Alligator mississippiensis: one gene and its partner. The protein of the gene in region 2 interacts with the protein of the main gene of each other region in a pairwise test. Links are inferred from orthologs where the notes say so. Each region holds a gene or a part of one and is shown on either strand. Other genes may lie near its edges.

What was found.
Region 1: the proteins of SNCAIP (region 2) and NUB1 interact in a two-hybrid assay, tested with the Homo sapiens proteins (2 studies listed by BioGRID). The link is inferred for Alligator mississippiensis from reciprocal best matches to the Homo sapiens genes SNCAIP and NUB1.

The regions. Positions count from the first base shown.
Region 1 is NC_081828.1:207,581,245-207,588,298, forward strand, and holds the start of NUB1 (NEDD8 ultimate buster 1), read right to left. Parts: upstream 3,009-7,054; 5' UTR 2,911-3,008; intron 2,317-2,910; 5' UTR 1,714-2,316; intron 1-1,713. UniProt on the Homo sapiens protein: Specific down-regulator of the NEDD8 conjugation system. Recruits NEDD8, UBD, and their conjugates to the proteasome for degradation. Isoform 1 promotes the degradation of NEDD8 more efficiently than isoform 2.
Region 2 is NC_081826.1:219,852,328-219,860,133, reverse strand, and holds the start of SNCAIP (synphilin-1), read left to right. Parts: upstream 1-4,790; 5' UTR 4,791-4,970; intron 4,971-5,088; exon of another isoform or gene 5,089-5,178; intron 5,179-5,409; 5' UTR 5,410-5,455; coding exon 5,456-5,512; intron 5,513-7,806. UniProt on the Homo sapiens protein: Isoform 2 inhibits the ubiquitin ligase activity of SIAH1 and inhibits proteasomal degradation of target proteins. Isoform 2 inhibits autoubiquitination and proteasomal degradation of SIAH1, and thereby increases cellular levels of SIAH.

The sequences.
Region 1 (7,054 bases), on a different chromosome or scaffold from region 2:
TTATCCCTTCACCATTCAGAACAGACGCACTTAACGCAGTGAATGCAACTTCAGTGCACGCAGATAAAACTCCCAAAATTTTGAGATGAACTGAACCTGACATTCTGAAGCAGCTGCCACTACTGGGCAACCTTGAAGTGCTTGCCAGTGACTGCACCCCTCCATCTCTGCTTCTGCCAGAATAGGGAGAGTGGGAGCTTAACCCAGAAAAGAAGTGAGGCACCTGAATGTCATGGGGAGAGTGAATTAGTACATCCATTCAGGAAGTTGGGAAGGGAGGAGGTGGGGGCAAATGATGGGAACACCAGGAGGAAACCTGAATGCAGCTGTGAGTCTCAGGGTAGGATCTGTTGGGAAGGGGAAGGGAGGGGGGAATTTTGGCTCCTAGACACTGAAGCTTATTTGAAGCAAATGAGCCCCAGGTTCAGGGGTGACTGGTGCCTGGTGGGGGGGCACAATTTATGGGCAGGACCAGGGGTGGGCCAAAAGCCCCATATCCACTCCTATATTTCTGTGCTGTGGCTTAGTGCCCCCCCGCACACTACTGGTCCGTGCAGCAAAAAAACTGCCCTGTCCTGAGTGGTGAAGAGTCGGGGGCCAATCTCAGGGGGGCATGTACCCCCCCCCCAGTCATCTGTGCCCAGGTTATATTCACATATGTCACTGAAACTGCACAGTAAAAATCAGACTAAGCAGTTTCAAGTTTTCCTTGCTGACAGTTTCACTTTCTGGTTCTCCTGCATTAGCACAAAACAACAGACAGTACCAGGGGGAAAAAACTATAAATATTAATACAAATGTTTATTCTTCAAAAACTCCCTTCCTAAAACATTACCCAGAAGTCTCCCTTTCCTCTAAACAACACTCTCGGCTTACCCCTGGATCAGACTTGCAAAATTCTTTTTGACCACAAAGGAAGGGAAATTGTTTTGTTTTGTTTTTAAATATAAATTAGAAGGCTAACGTACACAGGAACTGAGAACTTACCTAGCTGCTCCTCGCCTTTGGCTTTACTTTGGATAGAGACTTCATTTCTTGGACAGAAACGGCCCAGCACATCTCTCTCTTTTCAATTACACACAATAATTTCCCCAAATAGTTTTCTATTAATGTCATGCCCTTGTTTCTTATTGGTACCTTATTAAATTTAATTACTTCCAGAATTCCACAGTGTACATCCTAAGACGCATATAGCCTTCATTAAGTCGATTCTTCAAGTAAGTGACAAGCAGCAGCATTTTGTAGTCTGGTTTAAAATTCCCAAATTGTTACGATTGTGCCAATTTTTATCTTGGGACATTTTACTAAAGTACTAGCTCTTGTTGCGACAATGAGTTTTCATTTCCCCAAGGCTTCAAAATACATTTGTCAGTCTGGAGAGCAGCAATGAACACGAATGGAATGTGAAAGCCGATCGTACAGTCTCTTTGCTACGATCACCATTATTTTACAGTTTGGCAATTCAAATTTATTTGAATATGTAAAACACAACACAGAAAATAACTAAAGAAAAAAAATCAGATGTTAGAATGCAAGTAAAACATCTAACTTTATAACTTGGAGGTTTACGTGCAAAATGAGTTTCACTTTCACGTGCAAACTATTTTTTCTATAAAAATGAATCAATGTACTTTATTAAACAGCAATGTTTGGCACCATTCCCTTGTCATCTTACTACTGTATTAATGTTCTTTAGTAACAAATAAACCTTACCTCACTACTGTCCAACAACACTGTCCAGCGCAATCACCCCCTGAATGATTTCACTTTTGTGATGTTGGCAGTTTCCGATACAGTTTTGAACATGTGACCAAGGGTATTTCCAACAGCCATTGTGAATACAACATCAGGGAGTTTTAGATCTGCAGCCACCTACAGTCGGTTGCTTCCCTCTTGTGTACGGCCCAAAGGAGAGCAAACAGGTGAAGACATAAAACCACACAGATGGGAGCAGAGCCTGCGCCGTGACGACTCTGAGCAAACAGTTAACGCAGCTAGGAATAACGAGGTCTGGGCCGGCAAGAAGGAGCTGATCTAACGTGGTCTCAAAGGGAAGTGTTTCTTAAAAGCTCCCTGAAAGGATTCAGAGATAAACTGCGCAGATCCCCGCCGCCCCGCATCCTCCAGCCACCGCTGAGTGAAAGAAAGACGTCGCGGCGGCGAGCCCGTCACAAACCCCGGGGAATAGGTTTAAATAAAATGATACCTTGGGCCTTAGATATTTCTCAAATACTCGTTCCCACAGGGTAGGACTAAAACCATAACCGTAGTACCTTTGCTGTTGTGGGGGAAGCGGCGGGTCCAACCTCTCGTCACCTGCAAATAACCAAACAACCGGTTTCTGGGACGCTCCTGCTGCGCCTCGCAGCCCGCGGCGAGACTCGAGGCAATGCCAGCTTCGTTTTCGCTCCTCGTTTTGAGGATGGAAAAATAGAGCCCTTCTCTCGCAAAGAGCGCGGACGCCCGCTGACGTGCAGGACGCTCTTGGCGTTCGGCATCCTGACTCACAGCCCCGGGTGTCATCTCAGGAAGGGTGTTTGCACGCCCAGCCATGTTAGCACCTTGCACAGGGTACGTGGAAACGATCCCCAGATTGACCCGGTTGAGAACTGCGGATCCCATCGGACCAGCAGCGTGCAACTTTCCCCCCCCCTGCAAGACCTTGTCTGTTTGCAAGCTGGATGTGGCAGGTGGGCACCATCCAGCTGTGTAGAGGGGGCTGGGGAAGGGGCACAGCTTGGCACCCCCAAAAACGGACGTGACACCACCCACGGGCAAGAATTTACCCCCGCGCCCTAGTGTAGACAGCCCTCGGCGGCAGGGGCGGGGCGGGGCGAGAGGCGGGGGCGGGGCCGAGCCCCCCTAGAGGCGTGGGGAGGCCCCGCCCCTGCTCGCGGAGGCGTCGCTCACCTGCGCGGCGGGTCGCGGCCTGGCTCCGCGCATGCGCCCTGCGCCTCCTGGTTACCTCCCCCGACGCACCTCTCGGTCCCTACGGAAGCCCGGAAGGGCCGCTGGGCGGGGAGGTCACGTGAGGGCGGGCGCCGGCGCCATCTTGGCCGCGCTTCCTCGGGCCCCGCCCCAGAGCCCGTCGGGGCGGGGGCACAAAAAGAGCCAAATCTAAATCTGGACGGATTGGGTGGTACTAGTTGGCCGCCCGTGGCGCGGGGGATGTTGCGTGGGAGAGGATGCGTTGCGTCCCCACCCGTGGTTTGAGGGGGCTGGGGTGTGTGGCGACTCCTTCCATGGGACAGCTTAAAACGGGGGCAGGAGTGAGGGGCAGAGGTTAATCGCACACATTTCAAGGGGGGCGCTGAGGAGCCAGGAGATGCTGCCCCGTGGGTGAGGGCGTCCTCCCCGCTGTGGGGGAGAGAGCAGTAGCGTAGCCGGGCCAGGAGGAGGTCGATCAGGAGGCCCTGAGACTCGGTGGAGCTGCTGACGGGAGTGTGTAAACCAAGGTGAAAAAAGGTTGTCCCGTCTAATAAGGGGCTGCCACAATTTCAGCACAAGCGTCTTGAGGAGGTGAAGAGGGGTGCACTCGGGATAGGTGTGTGCCGGGGACTCCCTCTGCTGACAAGGGGCAGGTGTTTGGGGGTGTCCATTAAATGCACCAGATACATGCCTGTGGCAGTGGTTTTGTGGAGAGGTCCACCTAAGGTGGTTTGCAGGATCAAGGTGGAGTATAAGACAGTCCCTTTGCTCTGTGTCCTGCCACTTGGTGTCTGGTCAGTTTGTGATCTTGCTGTTTGCAGGAACCCTGGAGTTGGGTGGGATTGACTCGTACTCTCCTGCATAGCTAATAGAAAGTGACATAACCAGTCTAGAATAAGGTGATGAGACGCCCGAGGAAGGGTACAGGTTTCCCTTGCTGTATGCTGTATATGCATTCCTGGAAAGTGGTGCATAACTTGAATTTGCAAAGAGGGAACCCACTTTACAATGTAATAAATAGGGATATGTTCCAAGACCTCAACTGTACTGATCCCCAGACCCATTTCTACCACTTTTACAAGCCAGTTTTGGTACTCGGCAACAGCAGACAGTACACATAAGCACAGATCACTGTCATAATGGGGATGGCAACTACAGAAACGCATGTCGCAGATCACTAACAAGGAGCATGGATCCACGCAGGAGACTGTATTTTGGTGTGCCTCACTCCCACAACGCACATCACAAAGCACCTGACTGTTTCCACTACAGGGATCGCACAAGAGTGAATTTACCTTGCATACAATGAATTTTTGGTATAAAAAGGGTCATCGCTTAAGAGCAAATTTGGACATACAGAACCTGCAGAAAGGGAGGGAAACCTGTACTGTGATACGCAAAAGCTTGCTTTTGTCTATACTAGTGATTCTCACCATAAACGGACGCGTGCCTCTGGAGGCTGGCGGGGCATGGCAGCTGCCCCCAGGCAGCGGCGGGGGCATGGGGGCGGCAAGCGAGGAGTTCCTGCAGGCAGCCGCAGTGGTGTCAGCAGCGGGAGTGGGGGGTGCCGACCGGTGGTCAGCCTCCACCCGCAGATGCCACTGACACCAGCGACCAGTAGCGATTGGTGACTGCCCGCAGATGCTGCTGGTGGTGTCAGCAGTGAGGGGAGGGGGGTGGTGAGCGGCGACTGCCCGCAGGTGCTGCTGGCAGCATTGGTGGTACTTCTTTCAGGGGATGCATCGTCAATCTCGAGGTGCACCTGCACCTGTGTGCACCCCGTATGTGTTGCCAATGTTCTCAACCTTAAGCTCAAGATGGCCCTTGTTAGACTTGAGGCATCCCTCAGAAAATGCCAGTTGTTCTTAGTTTTCATTTGTTTTTTGACTATGAAAAAATAATAGAGCAATTTTTCTGTTGAAAGCACTGAGAGAGCCCACAACAAGTCAGAATGTTTTAAAACTGTGTATTCCTATTGGAAATCCTTGGGTTTATTTTATGAATTATGTTTGCGCACCTAACAATGATAACATTTTGTGTGGCATCCTGGAAGGATCTCGAGGCATTCCAGTGTGTCATAGTGCCCTGGTTGAGAATCACTGATTTATACCAACCATGTAGTTGGTCCAATGAAAGATGTCACCCACAAGAATGTTTGTCTCTCGCATTATAGACTAGTTATTTTGATATCATTCTTATCAAAATAATAACCCTACAATAAAGCATTCTCATAAGAGCTATCCCATATCAGATAGGCTGGCCAAATTTCCCAGAGACAAGACCTCCATTCAAACAGCTTTAGGAATGTCACCAGCCTTATGATGCTACATACTGGAGCCTACTGAATGCAACTCCCACAGGTAGGTCAGTCCAATTAATAGTACTCTGAACTGGGATTCAGGAGTTGTGGCCCTGAAAGTGATCCAGCTTGGGCATCTGTAAAATGAGGACAGTGATTCTTGATTTTTTAAATATATTTTGAGGTTTTTGGTCGAAAAATGATCTACAACAGCTAAACATTTTATTAGAAGGTTGCAAATAATGGGCAGTAATATTACTTCTGTGGACTCATTTACTCAACCAAGACATATCTGGAAGAAGAAAATGGGTCTTTCTTGCTGATATCCAGGTATTTCTCTGTTTTACACATGGAGAAGGAACAGAAGAGGAAATGAATAAAAATTCTGGTGTCTTGAATTTTTGTTTGGATTGGAAATGTATTTTTATACATTAGAACACAATAGAAGTATATTTTGATATTTTTATATAATCTGTTCTAAACATTGCTTTATTAAACAAGTCTGTTTATATATGGACAGTTGTTTGCTCCCCAATTTACGTGTGCAATATTTAAAGATTTTAAGTTTTAACTACTACATTTTTTTCATGTAACCAAATAGTTTACAAAATATAATAGTCTGGTAAAAAAGAGCCTCCTGCAATATTTTTAAGAGTTATAGTAATAATAAGATTTTTTTTCTTACATATATCCAAATTTAGGCCCTGCGGCACAACTTTGCAACATGCTGGGCAACTCCCAGAATATGGCCAGACTATTTTTGTTCAGAGGTATGATTTTTTTAAACATTTAAATAGTTATGCAGGTTAGATTCTTAGTGTGGACTCTGTTATATTGGTCTCATGGTGCCTACAACAGATCTACTGATTTTTGTTTTTAATATGCAATTTTTTTATTGCAGTGGAAGTTTATATGATCAGCCCTAAATTAAGGTAGGCTGGGTGTGTGTTTAGTTATGTTACATCCATGCAAAGGATGTCCATAACATAACACGTAACTTGTAATTATGTAGCTGCACAAGAGAGCAGCTCTAGTTTATTGAAACTGGTTTCTAAACAATTTTTATTAAATCTGTGCACAATCTTTAATGGTAGCAATAGTTGCATTTTTGGAATATTCCCATGTTTATTGGGAACATCTTTGCAAAATGGTTTTGGCTTGATTTTTATTAGTCTCACTGAGAGTCTTTGGTACTGTAAGTGATGTAGCTGTAGTGGAGTCTCTACCTAACATGAGATCCAGTCATTCGCAGCCATCTAGCTGGGTTCTTTTAGTCTGTTTTGTTTTAAAATAAAAGGGCATGGTCTGATTGTGCGATGTGAAATCTAGATACTCCTTATCAGTGAAGGTGGGGGGAAGATTTTTATAAGAACCCGTGGAGTCATGAGAAACATTTTCATTTTTTTCTTTTAATTTTTAGCCCACTTAAATGGAGCTTTTGTCCATGTGTCTGGAGCATCTAGAGACAACAAAAATGATACTCGACGATAACCTCAGAGCAGCAGTACTGCTCACTGAGCATGTCTACAGGTTCATTAATGTGCTTTTGCTATTGCGCATTAAATTTATTACCTTTAATGTGAGATACTAAGTAAATGCGCATTACGCTGCCCTAATGTGCAAAACCACATGCTGTTTTAGTGACACTTCATGCGCAGTAGCCTATTTTTACTGTGCATTAGCTTATTAGCACAGTTATTTATGTGATGCTTTAATGTGCAGTAAAATAGGCTACTACGCATTAAAGTGTTCATGTAGACATGCCCATTATAAACCATAATCAGTAAGCCAAGAAAATAAAATGCTAATGCAACATCCATTCTTGCA
Region 2 (7,806 bases):
TGGAGCTGACTAATTAGGTCTGCAGTAAAGTGTTGCTGTCTACACATGCATCAGTATTAGAACACAGTAAATTTAATTACCTCTGCTGTAGGATAGTACTGTCTGAGACTAGTATCAACCTATGGCAGAGTCATTTAGTGTGCCAAAACACATGTTTATAGAGTGACCAGGGCTGGCTGAGGCATGAGGGTGTTACAGTATGGGGACTGCCTGCCAGCCCTGACACTGCTACCCAGAGCCTGCGCTTCCCCCACCTGCAACCAGTCTGGGGCTGCTCCACCCTGGCTCAAACAGCTGCAGTCCTGGGCACATGTGAAGATGTTGTGCCTGGGAGCAGCTGACTCCTGCAGAAACTGTGCTGGAGCTTATTGCTACATGCTAATTATACATGTAGCTACACCTAGTATAAACAAAAAATATGCCTCTGGTCAAATATGACCAAAGTAGTAATCGCCTTCTAATTGTTCAGTGGTCTTTTGATCTTTTGAAAAAGCATTGATAATTATTTTTTCCCATTCTAATTAAAGGTGGCTACTGTTATCTTGGACCTTCTAGGGATGTCCAAGTTTTTTTGAGTAGACCTAAAAACTAAACTATGGCCCCTAGAAGTTATTCCTAAAGGTCTTGAGTGAAAACCCGTTGGGGAAACAAGGTAGCGGAACTTGTGTTGCCTTTTTTCTATTGTACCCAGTATAAATTAATTGAACTGCAGTCTCCATCAAAGACCCTCTAAATCTCTACTCTCTACACTACTTTAAAATACTTAGCCTTCTTGTTTCCTTTACTCCTTTGTTTGGGCCAATAGAATTAAACATTTCTTGCTTTAAAGACAATAGTGCATTCTTTGAAGTAAAAAGAAAAAAGGAACTATGATGATGACCTTTCATGACAGGGACATTTAAAATTTTTTACAGATTTGTCATGTGCAATTTAAACATTTGGCATTTCATGATCTTAGATTGCTTAACCATGTAACCTTATAGTTTAGTAATACTTTAATTGAATTTGGGGAGGGCAGGGAAAGGGTTCACCATTGAAGCAACAAGCTTAGAAGAAAATATCACCCTCTGGAATAACTTGCATAAATGCTGTATGTCAGGGATAGGCAGTGTTTTTAAAAATTCTAAACCTGGTGACAATAAATAAAGGTTCATATACTGCCTTTGTGTATTTGTTTTTTTTAAAGCATGCTGTGATGACACAGAGAAAAAGAGGAGACACGGGGGGGGGGGGGGGGGAGAAGAGAAAGAAAAGCACTAACCCCCTGGTGATTTATTGCGGCAGGAGGCAGAGTAGGCCCTTGGTCACAGGGTCCTAACCCACTTTTACCTACCCTACTCCTGTCTTCTCTTCAGTCACCCACCATACGTTAGCCTTAAATGGTAGGTAGAATAGAGAGGGAGGAGTTGGCACCTGATTGTTCTTGGCCTTTTACAGTGAGGCTTGGGAGATTACATCCTGGGTCTCTTCCACCCCTACACGATGCCCATGCCTCTCCAGAGAGATGTTGCCATGGAAGACACTGGTTCTTTAAGGATAAACTTAATTCCTTAAAATAGATGCTCTGTATTGACTGCCACAAAAAAGTAAAAATGCTCTCAAGTAAAAGACTTTTTTTCTTGGTGCCTGTCTTGGCCCTGCTTCTGACAGCTAAGATTGGTGATGGATGTTAGGCTGGTAGCTAGCTGTCATCAAATGCAAACATGAATCCGAACTGTCAGTTGTCAGATGGTTTGTCACAGGACTGAGTATGGATCTACTTACCACTATGAACAAGTGTTTTCACAAATGAAAACCAAAGATGGACAGCAAAGCAAAAGCTACTTTTTTTTCATGCAGGCATACTTTTGAAGAAGGGAAGACCAATATGCTGTAATCTTGAGTTGCTAGTCCCTTGCATTCTCAAATTCACCTCACAACCATTTGAACTTTGCTACTCAGATGCATGAGCTTTGAAAGTCAATCAGTTCCAATTCAAATCCTTCAATGTTCAGTCACTGAAAATACCGCAGTTCTGTGTCACTTTCACAGTATTGTCTGGGTTCACCAGAAGTGAAAACATGGGTCCTGTGTTGCAAAAGTCTTGGAATAGTCTTGCGAATTCATCTTCCAGCTGTCCTATGTAGTTTCATATACCCCTATTATTCAATTGATGTTACCCAGAATGGATTTTTCAGACTGAGCAAGTAATGGAAGGCAAATATTTAAATATCCTGTCTGAAAATGAACAACTTATCACAGAAAGCTTCCCAGTCTTCAGACAGCTGAAGGATGGTTTTCCATGTTCCTTGTAACCTAGTATTCAAATCATTTAAATGTGATGCAATGTCTGTCAAAGACATCAGTTTTGTTTGCCATCTGTCATAGTAAGGTCTGCATGTTACTGACCACTTTTTCCTCAAGAAACAGCTTGATGGATCTGAAACAAGCAAGAAAGCACTTGAGCATGTCACCTCAACTCAATCAGCATACATTACTGTGCAGCGCTAAATATCCATATGCAGAATCCATATCATTTGAAAGTTCACAGAATCTCCTGTATGTCAAAGAAGAGCGGGCGATTAAAAGGTTGACAAATTTCACAACCACTGTCATGATTTTGTTTAGATCAGAAGATGAGATCTTAGCGCACAGGCTCTCCTGATGAATAACACAATGGAAACTCATGAGGATGTCCAAACTCCATTTCAGAAGCTTTACAAATCTGGCTGTTTTACCTGCCATAGTAGATGCACCATCAGTCATACCAGAAAACATTTTGTGCAGGTCAATTTCTCACTGTGTGCAAAATACCTAGGGCAGCATTAATATATTGTTGGCCTTTTATTGTGCTATGCATAGTACTCAAAGAAAACAATTCCTCCAAACTTCCCAAACCGAGACAAAATATCTAACAACTATAGCATGATGGGGGATATCATTTATATCTGTGCCTTCATCCAGTGCAAGCCTTATCGCATTACAAGCAGGGAGATCTTGAATCATTTGTTCCCTAACATTAATTGCCATTTCATCTATTCACCTCTGAACAGTCCTGGATGACAATGGCATTTCATCAATGCAAACAATAATGCTTTCCTTATTTGCAAAATCCTAAAACAGATCCTCAGCACATTGTAAGAGAGAATCCTTTTAGTATTCTCCATCTGTAAAATACTTGCCTTCCTGAGCTATAGTTAGAGCTGCAATGTAATTTGCCTGTGTGGAAAGAGTATTTCTAGCTACAAAACAAGAAAAGCTGTCTGTGTTTTAGAAATGAATCAACAGCTTTTATAATGGATTCACATTTGTCTGCTTCACTGACTCCAGAAAATTTTGGCTTCGTGCTTGGTTGCAAAATGTCACTGGGTGCTGGAAGTACAAGATAGCACACTTTCATTGCACATGCTACAGACAACACCATCCCCTTGCTGCACAAAATCATACAATTCTCTCCATGCTGGCTGTAACTTTCAAATATCTAACTTTATGGATAGTAAAGAACCAAAGTTAGATATTTATATGCCTTGTAACTGTAAAATTTCCTGAAGTTCACACAAACCAAAGGCACTGCAAGCAATGTAAATAGGCAAAATCAGAAATAATTTAATTTATTTGAAGTGTGTGTAAATCTGGGTAAGTATTTCCAAGAAGGCAATCAGAGCAGAAAAACACACAAACAAGTGAGCAATATGATGTCTTTAAATCTAGGAACCCATAGTAGAGAGATCAAATTAAACTGACTATGACCTGTTTTGATACAGTTAAAGCTTGAAAAATATGAACTGGTTTAAAAGACTGAAAAATGGAACAAGAAATGATTTAACGGAGCAAAATAAAACTGAAAAATATGAACTATTTTGACAGAGCAACAGCTGAATATGAATCAGTTTAACAAAGCAAAATAAATCGGTCAATGTAGAGAGAGCAATGGCTGACTATTAATCAGTGTAACCAGGCAACGTAAAAGGAATAGTACAAACTGGTTTGAGAGAGCAAAAACAAAGCCTGAAATAATTTAACAAAGCAAAAGAAACTGAATAATATGCCATCTTAAACTATTTGCCAAAACCAGGAGCAGCACACGGCCCAGACAGAAGTTACAGAAGATGCTCTGTTTTGCCATGCCTTCATCTCGCCCTTCATGGCCCGAGGGGACAGATTTTCATCCAATCGGCAATGTTTTTAAACAGCATGCAGCTTGCACTTGTGTTTGGTCACACTACAAACCGCTTTCTGTGGCCAGACCAGGCGAAACTTGTCATTTCTGTCTGCACCCAGCAGGTTACTGAGCTGGCTGCCCCAAGAGCCAAGTGCTGAGCTCCTGTAAGCAGGCGGGGCAGGGCACTGACGCGGAGGTGCTGGTGCCCGCATCCCCTCCCCGCTGTGTCCCGCAGGCAGCACCACGCCCCCCGCCCAGGTCTCGCAGCCCAGCCTCAGGCACTGACAGGGTCAGGGCATCGGCAGGACGCAGCGGGGCTTTGTAGATGGCAGCAGCCCTGGGCGGGCGGCGGTGGGGGCGGCCCGCATGCTGCTGCCTCCAGCCCGGAGCTGTGGAGACGGCGCAGCCGCTGCAAATGCCCCCAGCCGGGCAGGCTGCAAACAGCTACGCACTTGAGGGAGAAGCTACAAAATTTGCCTCCCCTCACACAGCGTGCCCGCTCCTTTCCCGTGCGGGGCGGGGCGGGGCATGGGCGGGGGCTGGGCTCCCGACTGGAAACCCCGCCCCTCCCCGCGCTGCCGCTGACGACGCCGCCGCCGCCCCACGCAGCGGAGCCCGCCCCGCTGCCTCTCCGCCGCCCCGAGCCCGGCCCCCCGCCGGGAAAGGCTGGCGCGGCCCCGGCCCCGGCCCCCGGAAGAGGCTGGCGCCGCGCGCTTTTGCGGGCTCAGCTGCGCGGGGCGGGCGCAGCCCCCGGCCCGGTCCGGCCCGGCCCCCCGAGCCCCCCCACACCTCGGAGCCTGGCGCCGCGCGCGCGCCTCGGCAGCTTCAGGTGAGCGCCGCGCGGCCGCGGGCGGGGCGGGGCGGGGCGGGGCAGGGGCCTGAGGCAGCGCGGCCGCGCCCCCCCGCGTGCCCACACCGCGGCCCGGCATGCCTCCACGCCCGGCGGTTTTGTGCATGCGGAGTCACTTCGATTTCAGTCTGGCTCTGTGCGAGAACAGAGGCGTCTGCTCGGATGCAGCCCTCACTTCAGCAGCAAGGCACGTCTCCCTGCTGCTTCAGTAGCCACAATTGCTGCCCCGCCCCCCTCCCTCCCCCCCCACGATGGGTAGACAAAAAAAGAGAAGTGGAATGTAAAGTTTTAGGGAGCGTCCTCTGATGGGTGTGAAGATCGTTACCTCGAGCAACGCATTGGCTTCATAGAAAGGTTTTTGTATCAGGCCCTTGTATAACACTAGTTTTCTCAAGTTCCTACCTGTCTTTTTAAATAGGACTTTACTGCTGTTCTGATTCGCCCAAGATGTACATAGACAAATAATGGAAGCCCCTGAATACCTTGATTTGGATGAAATCGATTTTAGTGATGACATCTCTGTAAGTATAAGTCTTATTTTATCTGTTTCAAGGGCCACAATTGTTAGGTGTCTCAGTCATGCAGTTTTGGTGGTGGTGGCCAAACCCTGCTTTGCCCTTATGCGTGGGGATACTTTATTGTACTTGTTATCTATTATATGTTATATTGTTGCGGGTCACTTGAATTGAGACCATTTGTTTGCTTATCTACAAGATCTGACCTGGTCAACACTAGAAAGGGCAGAAGTCCAGCAGGGTTTTTGCTGTGCGTGTGTGTTTCTTTTTGTTTTTTGGGGTTTTTTTGTAAATGTGCAGCTTTTATGGTATAACTAGAATCAGAAGGGTTTCCAAGGATTTTAAAGACAATGTCAGTCCTGGGACTGCTCTTAAAATAATTCTAGTTTGAATTATAAGCAAAAATATTGCTCTTCTGAGGTTATAGACAGATGTAACAATTGTATCAATATCAAAGTATGCCAGTACAAGCTGTTATGATACAAGGTTAAATCTGTATGATCCTCCTTCACTCAGGGTTAAAGTTAGGGCAATTTAATTAACTTTTACCTCCTTGGGATCATGCAGATGTAACCATTAGAGCATAGCAGCTGCTGCACACTCCCAACCAGCAGCTCGCCTTCCTCTTTTAAAACCCCTACAATTAGTGTTTGTCCATACCTTGAAGTATGCACTTTCCAGCTCTTACAGGAACCACTGAAACACTTCATTCCTTCTTTCTAATTATACTTCTGCTACAAGTGTTCCTGTTTTATGAGTGAACCTGTTGTTTATATACCAAATGCCTGTTTAATGAGGGCAGTTTAACATGCACATAATTCTGATGTAAATTACATTTATTAATTTGATTTGCAGGTCACCTGTGCTGTCACTGACAAAGTGAAGCCTGCATATCCAAGACTATTATAAACTTCTCTTACAGAGGGTCTCATTTTCCCTGCTGTAGTTTATGCTGCATAGTGTTGTCTGCAGCAATATAAATGTATCCTCATTAAAAACTGCTCTGCAAAGCAATGCTGTCTCTGTGAGCAAAGGAAACCCTTGGCTGGTAGCTAGCAGAAGGCAGAAGTAGACATGCCCACACCTTCTGCTAGATGCTATGGCCCCTTCAGCACCTGGTACCTGTCTAGGGTGCACTTCATGCCCTGCCAGCGGGGCTGCAGGCAGAGCTGTGTGGTGGCACCAATTGCTTTATGGGCATGAACAGTGCTCTGGCAGCTTACCCATGGCAGGTGCTCTTTGCTGTCAGAATTTCCAGTGACAGACAGTCATGGGTAGGCAAGGCTAGTGTTTGGGTAGGCAAACCTTTTGGAAAGCTCCATGTGCTCTATTCCCATACAGCTTCCTTTTAAAAGGGATTTTATTTTTACCCTTTTTTACAATGGCTTCTAATTAAATGGGGATAAATTACAAGATAAGGCCCCAGTCGTGAGAGGATAGGTTTTTCTGGACAGCTGTCTTGTTTATATCTATTACCTACTAGCTTGGGTGTCTCAAACTTACCTGCCTTCCCCAAGCCTGACCCAAACCAGAGGGCTCCTCACAGGCCAGATCTGGACCAACATCTGGTGGTGGGATGAGCAGCAGTGGCAACAGCGCAGGGGTTAACATAGCCATTGCTTTCACCTGCCACTGACACATCCCCAGTGGGCTCTATACTCTGGATTTTGGTGATGGGCCCTGCCCTGACTCATCCCACCCCCAAATCTCCAGCCCCTCTAGGAACCCCATGGGCCAGAAGACACTGCTCCATGGACTGGATTTGGCCCACAGGCCATGTTTGACATCCCTATGCTGAATCATGTCCCCATATGTGTTTCTAGGCACAATTTTACAAATTCTTAGTGAAGAATAGATTTAGATCCAAAGTTGATTAAGTAATGACTAAAAATTGTTAAAACGTGATGAGTGTTCTTGTGGCCCAGTGAAGTGATATGATGGTCTCAGCCCATTTCTGAGTGGACAGGTATACGCATCAGAAAGTCATTCTTTCAGCTGAGTTCCTTGTCAGACAACTCGGCCAAGGGTCACAGGTTTTTGTGTGCACAGAGATTGCCCATGGCATCTAGGAGCTATTTTATATTACTAAGGGGGAAAAAATATTTAAAATTTTATTTTGATTGTACATGGGTTCCTGAATAAAGAGAAACTCTAACCTTTTCTTCTGTTTTTCAAACTCTTAAGCTACCCTGATTTAAGTGCCACATATCACAGATTTGTGTGCACGTTAAATAACAGAGTAGAGTTATGTGACCTTTATTTAAATTACACACACATCATTATGTTCAAAATGACATTAA